Linked DNA regions of Drosophila melanogaster. The protein of the gene in region 1 interacts with the protein of each later gene in a pairwise test. Each region holds a gene or a part of one and is shown on either strand. Other genes may lie near its edges.

Region 1 (4,817 bases):
CAAACATATAATATCGCCTGATTCCAAAAATCATAAAAAAACCGAAGGGTCGTTGCCTGTGCGGTCATTATATCAAGAGACGCCTCAGAAGATCTGGTTTGTTCAACAAAAAGCTGGGACTGCAGCGCATACGTAGCATACTGGGCTCCACCTCCATGGGCATTGTGCGCGATGTGTTTCCAGCGGTCCAAGTGGTAAGCAAAAAATAACGCTTTATTTTATTATATTAATCATTTTACACACCTTTGCCCAAGCTGGGCGATGAACTGGAGCGCATGCATCCCCGGATATACAACGGAGTAGCTCGTCAGATTTGCCGGAATCCGGGTGGTGAGTTCCATACTCCGGATGCTGTGAGCTTGCTTTTGGGAGCCGTTGGTCGCGAGCTCTTCCGGGTGGAGATTACGTGGAGCAAGGTGATCTCTCTGTTCGCCATCGCCGGTGGGCTGTCCGTTGATTGTGTACGCCAAGGACATCCGGAATACTTGCCCAAGTTGATGGAGAGCGTTTCCGAGGTGATCGAAGATGAGCTGGTTCCGTGGATTAACGAGAATGGTGGTTGGGTGAGTTTCTCCGATCATTTCATAATTGTCGAGGTTTCATTTCAATGATTTTCCATTTTAGAGTGGCATCAACACACACGTTTTACCCACTACCAACAGCCTGAATCCTTTAGAGTGGACCACTTTGGTTATAGGCGTAGTTTTTGGCCTAATTCTAGTTTTTATGATTCTGCGATTTATATTTAACTTGATTGTACCAAAAATATACCAACGATTTACGAATTCCTAAACATTTTGTTTATTAAGCGTAAAAATCCTATTGATTTGATCTATAATCTTTTTTTGTACACAGTTTTCACATTTTCACACTTTTTAAAAAAGTTCGCAATTGGCGAGAAAGCTTTTTGATGCTTTTAGCTACAATTTGTTTTGGCTTGATCAGCTTTCTAGTATAACTAATTTAATTAATAAAGCTCTCATAAAAGCTTCTTGAAAAATAAATATACGATGGGAAACTGATAAGGAAACCAAATCCTAGACTAGGTGCAATCTGCAATGCCAGTAAACAGTTTATCCTAGTTGAATTTTGGTTATTGCTAGCCCTGGGCCTTTTTTAAATATTTTGCTGATTTAAACAGTTGCACTCAACTGATAAGACTACAATTTTCACATAGAATAGGTCTTCGGCTTGTTTTATTACAAAATTTAAGGGAAAATCTTCCACGGACTTATGTCAAAATTCAAATAAATGCAACAGTTATCAATTCATCGGTACACAATCTTTATACTACAGCAAGTGACAATCTCGCCTTACAACTTTCCGGTTAGTTCGGGCACGGCCTTGAAAAGATCTGCCACGATGCCAATATCGGCGACCTGGAAGATGGGCGCTTCGGGATCCTTGTTGATGGCCACAATCGTCTTGGAGTCCTTCATGCCAGCCAAGTGCTGGATGGCGCCTGAGATTCCGACAGCGATGTACAGCTCGGGAGCCACAATCTTGCCGGTCTGACCGATCTGCAGATCATTGGGCACAAATCCAGCATCCACGGCAGCACGAGAGGCACCCACAGCGGCACCAAACTTATCGGCCAGATCATACAGCAGCTTGAAGTTATCTCCGGACTTCAGGCCCCGTCCTCCGGACACAATAACCTTGGCTCCGGCCAGCTCGGGGCGATCGGACTTGGTCAGCTCCTGGGATACAAATTCGGACAGGCTGCTGGCGAAGTCACCAGCTGGTGCCTGCTCCACGGCTCCACTTCCACCGCTGGTGGCTGCCGGTGGGAAATTGGTGCTCCTTACGGTGATCACCTTAACGGCGTCCTTGGATTTCAGGGTGAGGATAGCATTTCCGGCGTAGATAGTGCGCACAAAGGTGTCGTCCGACTTAACATCGATGATCTCCGAAATGGGCGACACATCCAGCTTGGCCGCCACGCGTGGCAGCACGTTTTTGCCGAAAGCCGAAGCTCCGGCCAGGATGTGGGTGAACTTGAACTGAGACTGGGCGGCCAGGACCAATGGGGTCAGCGACTCCGCGGTAAATCCGTTGAAGGCGGCATTTTCGGCCACCAGAACCTTGGTCACGCCATCCACCTTGGAAAGAGCCTCGGAAGCCTGGAAAACAAGAGAGTGATTATGTAAGATTATCTATCGCACCAAATACTTATGATCAGTGGGAGTCGCTCTTGGGTGGTTCGATGCTTTATAATTTAAATGTCTTGGTATTTTAAAATGGTCATCTATTGAAATCACTTTGCTCGGCATTTTTGAAATATGGTTACTATATATTGTATCTAAGTAAGGGTTCACCAATCCAAAATCAAAACATTTTTTTCTAAATTTTTAGTTAGTTTTAATCTAGTATGAAAATTGGAAAACTGGAATGTAGCAAGAGTTAAGTGGAAAATAGATTGGACCCTTTTTAAAGTGTACTTATAGTCAGAAGTATATAATCAAGGTTAACAATTCCTATCTCTTAGATGCAGTATTACCAACAACTCAAAAGTCTTGTTTTCTAATGAGATATGTTTATATAATCCTGTGCCGGTTTGATTTCTACCAGATCGCAAAGGTCTTAGGATGCATGTTCAGCCTATTTGATTAGATTCGTTGATGATTCGAAATCCCTGCGAATGGAACCACCCTAATGTGAGACTTCTTGGGGGACTTACGGGTCCGCATTTTGTGCCTGCCACCAGAACTGTGACGTCACCACCGATCTTCTTGGCCGCAGAGATGGTGTTCAGGGTGATCGGATTGAGTACCTCATTGTTGTGCTCAGCCACCACCAAAGTGCTCTTGCATCGCTGCAACTGCAAGTGGGAAAATTGATATTTTGTTATTTAATTTTTAGCGATCACCGCCTGCGCTTTTTTTTTATCTTTTTAAGAAATTTCCACTCACAATGCTGCTGCGCATAAGATTACGCGTGTTGCTGGCGAACATTTTGGATGTTGGATGGTTATTGGAGCTATCCACGCGAGGGAAAATTGTTGTTTGATTAATTTAAGTCCATTAATATTTAATTAAAACTCTTACCTTCGCTGTAAAATCACAGAAAGTCCAAAGGTTTCCGCTGATTTAAGCGTTTGCCGTTTTTTGGTACCTCCTAGCCAATACACAACAGCTGTTACTTAACAGATGGAGCAACAGATCTATGTGAACTTTAAGCAGCAGGAACTTAAGTGAAAAAATGAACATATATAAAATATAATCTTGGAATTATTGATTAATGGACTTATTTAATTTAATTTTATTATCCATTTAAAAAAATATGCAAGCCGATTAATATTACTAGTCATAAATTTGTAAAAGAGCTTAATGAAGAATGAAGTATTAAAAAAATTACATTTATTATTAAATAGAAACATTAAATATAGATTATAAATGTTATTACTTCAGTTAAAGAGCGAATGAGCGAGAGTTTTAAAAATAATCGTGACCAGTCACAGTTTAGCTAACAGTGTCAACTCAGCAGCATATGTTGAGTAATCTCTTAAAGTAATCTGGCAACACTGGAATAAGAATTATTTCTTTGCAAAACATTGTCAACAATTTTGAAGAACTTCGAAATTTTATTTTTAAATTTCGGTAAAAGGTTTGGCGAACAGACAAAATGGTCAAGGACATACCAGACAGGTGAGTGCAGTTTAGGAGAATATCCCAAAGAAACCCGTGTTGTTTATGCTGGTCATTTTTTCATGTTACTTTTTGTACCAATTGCAGATGGCTGAAGTACAAACCGATTGGAGATCGTGTTCCTGGCACTCGTTTCATAGCCTTTAAGGTGCCGCTGAATCAGGTGAGTTCCCGATGATCCTCCGCCCGCCCAGTGGCGTACCACACTCCATCCGAGATCCAAGAAACCGGTTGACAGGAGAGCCGCCAATTGATGGATGTTGAAAACCCAGGATCTGGACCACCGACTGAGCGGCCCTCTAAAAATATAAATAACAACGAACGACGACGAAATTTGTGCATTGTAATTATGCATAAAAGTGGCAACTGGAACATGGACCCCACATGAATATTAAATTAAATTGTTTTTGCTTAATTAAATAACGCCACGGATCCACGGCCTTTATTAATTGCCAGCCCTCCGGGCATTTTGCATAAATTGAGCAATCTATGGCCGCCCATTGTAATGCCCTCGTATATTTGCTCAGCTCCCTTCTTTTTTTTTATCTTTTGCAGCATGTCAACGCCAAAGTGAAGGAGAATCTTCGGCTGGCGCCCGAATCCCTTCTGCAGATCGTACCCGATATGGGTCTCATCATCGATTTGACCAACACGAATCGATACTACCACCCAAGTGCCATAACCAACCACGATGTGCTCCACCAGAAGCTGATGATCCCCGGAAAACAGACACCCTCGCATAAGCTAGCCCAAAGGTAATTATGAATTTAAGCAACTATTAATAGGAAAATTTATTAGCTCTGGTTCGAAAATGTTGTAATTTTGGAACATGGTTTGGATAAGTCTTCATCTTCTTATTATAAGAACTATATTGTAGGCAATGTTCCTAATAATTACAATATTAATAATATTATTAATATCGTTAGTTGGATCGTTTTAATGCTCGCATAAATGTGGTTTTGCAATATGCATTATTTTAATTTTGCTTTGTTTTTGGAATGAAATGAAAAGAAATTCTAATTTGTTATTCAATCCAAGATATTACCAATTCATGTAATGATCCATCTCTTTCCTATGTCATTGCAGATTCTGTGCTTTCGTGACTGACTTCCTTGAAAGGAACGCGGATAATGGTGAGTGCTGACAATTCATCCCACACATCATGATCTT
Region 2 (3,868 bases), on another chromosome or scaffold:
AGACAAAGAACATCAATCGCTCGCTATCGGAGCTCACCAACGTAATCCTGGCGCTGCTGCAGAAGCAGGACCACATCCCGTACAGGAACTCCAAGCTGACGCACCTGCTGATGCCCTCGCTGGGCGGCAACTCGAAAACGCTTATGTTCATCAACGTCTCGCCGTTCCAAGACTGTTTCCAAGAGTCCGTCAAGTCGCTGCGCTTCGCGGCCTCCGTAAACTCCTGCAAAATGACCAAGGCCAAGCGGAATCGCTACCTGAACAACTCGGTGGCCAACAGCAGCACACAGAGCAACAACAGCGGCAGTTTCGATAAATAAAGAATGCATTCTGAGCCCAGTTTTAACAATTTTCAAATTTCTAACCTGTTATTGCTTAATTTATGTGTGTTTACTTTTAGTGCAAATAAACTAATAAAGTGCTGGAATTCAAAGCTATCTCACTTGGCTCCCACTGCTGCCCGCACCTCGGCGGGAATCTTTTCCACCAGCGCGGCATGGTCCTGTCCCAGGCTGGCCAGCACTCCCTGTCGATTCACGTGCTCCACATCCGCATTGTAGGCGTAGTGCTCGCCGTTGATGTTGGTGAGGCAGCCGCCCTGGGCCTCTAGAACGGCCTCGGGTGCGCAGGTGTCCCACTTCTTGCAGCCCGGCGTGGCGAAGACGTACGCGTGGGCCTTTCCCTCCAGCAGCTGGAGCACTTTGAACCCAGCGCCTCCGACTTTCAGAACTTCTGTGGATGCGAATGCGTTGAGGGCTTGCTGATGCAGGGCATTGGAATGCGAGCGAGTGGTGGTTATGATGAACTGGCCGGCTGGCGCGGGGACTGCCGTGAATCCTCCCGTGCCCAGACCCTTCAGGCCCCAAATGGTGCGACCCATTTCGCCATCGGGCTGTTGGTAGAATGGCTGATGAATGATGCCGCCCACAGCAGCATCCTTCACGGCTATGCCGATCAGGACGGTCACGTGTTCAACGTGTCCTGCGGATGAAAGGAGAACATTTAGTTTTATATAAGGAGCTCTACAGGTATCTCCAGATCGCACCCTGTGTATACTCCGCTGTGCCGTCTAGGGGATCTACCCATATGACAAAGTCCTCGGGCTTGACATCCTTCCACTCAGCGGGGCAACTGTGCTGCAGGAATTCCTCATCCAACTCGTTCACCAGCCAGTCGTCGCAGACATTCAGATCGGATCCACCCTCCTCGCCAATGATCTTGACGGTGGGGAACTTTTTGGCCAAGGAGGCGATAATGCAACGCTGGGCAGAGCGATCTGCCTCCGTCTGCGGATCGTTCTTGCCCTTGTCCACTATGCCCAGGTCACCCTTCTTGAGCACGTCGCGTATGATGCCGCCAGCCCGCTTGGCGGTGCTGATCGAGGACGCCATGACGCGCATAATTACCGGAGCAGTTGCAGCCATCGTTATTTTATTTGTATGGGACAAGGATGCGGGAGATCTTTTCAAGATTGGAATGAGATGTTTTCGTCGCTGCAGAGAAGTGATTGCGGTGAAAGTAGAACAGCTGTTGGCGGCTAGAGAGGAGCGAAAAGCACAAAGTTTAGCTACTCCCCCGTAAATAGTTGAATTCGTAATTCATCAACTCCACAGTTTCAGAAATTATGTTTCCTAGTTTTGCTTAAAGTTGTTAGTCCTTTAAGATACATGAATTTAAAAATGTATTTCAGCGGGAATATTTGGACATTTTATAGCTGCAAATAATCGGCTGCTCTGTCTGGCAACGCTGTAGCCGGAGAAGACCTTTGGACCACCCGCGCCCCCGCCGCCAACAAATCAGTTCATTTCCATCTTGAAGAGGTAAGTTCTTGAAACTCAGTAAATTTCCGTAAATTTCATCAATTTTATAACTAATTTGGCAGAAAATGGCGCGTGTTTTGGTTGGAGTTAAGCGTGTGATCGACTACGCCGTCAAGGTGAGCCTGAAAAGTCGCCTGTTGCGCATCTTGTCCCATTGTCTTTTTATCACTTGTTGCGCTCTGTTTTGCGTAATCGCCTTAATTAAGCGGCAATTAAACTAATTCAGGTTACATTTATCATGTCCAGGTGCGCGTCAAGCCCGACAAGACTGGCGTGGTCACCCAGGGCGTGAAGCACTCGATGAATCCCTTCGACGAGATCGCCGTGGAGGAGGCGGTGAAGCTGAAGGAGAAAAAGCTGGCCGAGGAGGTGATCGCCGTCTCCGTGGGCCCGGCCCAGTCGCAGGAGGTGATCCGCACCGCCCTGGCCATGGGCGCCGATCGCGGCGTCCACGTAGAGATCCCGGCCGCCGAGTACGAGCTTCTGCAGCCCATCCACGTGTCGAAGATTCTGGCCAAGTTGGCTCTTGACGAAAAAGCCGACCTGGTCATCCTTGGCAAGCAGGCCATCGACGATGATGCCAACCAAACGGCCCAGATGACCGCCGCCGTGCTCGACTGGCCGCAGGGCACCTTCTGCAACAAGATCGAGAAGACAGACGCCGGTCTGACCATCACGCGTGAAATTGATGGTGGCCTGGAGACAATCAAGACCAAGACCCCGGCTGTGCTGAGCGCCGATCTCCGGCTGAACACCCCTCGCTACGCCACGTTGCCGAACATCATGAAGGCCAAGAAGAAGCCGCTGAAGAAGGTTACGGCCAAGGATCTCGGCGTGGACACCTCGCCCCGCATCGAGGTCATCTCCGTGGAGGATCCTCCTGTGCGCCAGGCCGGCGCCACCGTCGCCGACGTGGATGCCCTGGTGGCCAAGCTAAAGGAGGGCGGCCACATCTAGATGTTCCTCAACTAGAAAATTGTGAGCGCATATTCTACGTTTTTAATTAGTCGAAAGTTATCAGAAACGTGCATTTATCTAGCCGGAGAGTCGGATTTGCTGACAGGCTTTAAATTTCTCTGAATTCAACCCATACCCGTGTGCTTTAAGTGAACTATAAATTGGAATTTATTCTCGTTGTGTCCAGCTCTAAGAATAAAGTGATTGTAAGCTCTGAAATCGTACGATCAGGGTCAGCCAATGGCTGGACTCGTCTATTTTTCCGTCTCCGCGTGCTACCTTTTCGGGAAATGCCGCTCAACTTGGCGCCCAAAAGAGGCGACAGGGTCAACAGCAAACAGCCAATGGTCATTGATTTCTCATTGTTTTCAATCGGATTTATTAGCGGTTAACTTGAAAGGAGAACATTTGCTAATGTGCATTATATAAGAGTACAAATGGCATAGAAATAGTATATATTGTTCATAAAACACTCGACTACAGGCTAAAATCGTTTGTTTTCGTTTTGGACGACCATGACACACAGGCTTATACTATAAAGATATCTATGTGTATAAAATTGTAAAAAGGTCTTGTCTGTAAATGGTCTAAGGTAGATATAGATAAGGGTGGGCCGACATTCCTGATCGAGAATCAAAGAGGCGCAAGTTGTTCTATGATAAGGTTTAGTAGAGAATTTAAAATTTTGAGATCGTCTTTGTTCAGTTGGCAAGTTAAAATTGTCAAAAAATTTTGGCCGGAGTAAAAACCTCTTAGATTTCTAAGTTAAATCGATCTACTCTACCCACCCCAAAAAATATAAATACAGACGAGTAAATGCGACATTAATAAATGTCAATCGAAAGATACTTTGTGCCTAAATAAAATAAAACGGGCAGTGGCACCAATCTCGTCGAGCAATTGGGCAGGTTAAAAAAGTGTTGTATAAAAAATATGCTGCAAGGCCGATAGCCCATGAGGTTCTAACTTAATTGCGACTTGGTTTATCACACACCTCGCCGTACCCACCGTTTGATCCATACCATTAGCCATCAAACCCGTCCGGCTGGTGCCAACTGCTTGTCGCTGAAACGCAGAATGCGCGTCAGCAT

What was found.
Region 2: the proteins of wal (region 1) and Etfb interact in a two-hybrid assay, tested with the Drosophila melanogaster proteins (2 studies listed by BioGRID).

What each region holds. Positions count from the first base shown.
Region 1 is NT_033778.4:11,687,766-11,692,582, forward strand, and holds wal (walrus), read right to left. Parts: upstream 3,099-4,817; 5' UTR 3,048-3,098; intron 2,980-3,047; 5' UTR 2,955-2,979; coding exon 2,913-2,954; intron 2,822-2,912; coding exon 2,681-2,821; intron 2,124-2,680; coding exon 1,314-2,123; 3' UTR 804-1,313; downstream 1-803. Other genes in the region: buffy, read left to right, coding at 48-194, 255-563, 625-792; CG13197 (uncharacterized protein), read left to right, coding at 3,625-3,647, 3,735-3,810, 4,203-4,402, 4,734-4,780.
Region 2 is NT_033777.3:29,800,858-29,804,725, reverse strand, and holds Etfb (electron transfer flavoprotein beta subunit), read left to right. Parts: upstream 1-1,881; 5' UTR 1,882-1,885; coding exon 1,886-1,936; intron 1,937-2,066; coding exon 2,067-2,777; 3' UTR 2,778-3,127; downstream 3,128-3,868. Other genes in the region: ncd (non-claret disjunctional), read left to right, coding at 1-320; CG7789 (uncharacterized protein), read right to left, coding at 440-981, 1,046-1,424; Drice (death related ICE-like caspase), read right to left, coding at 3,809-3,868.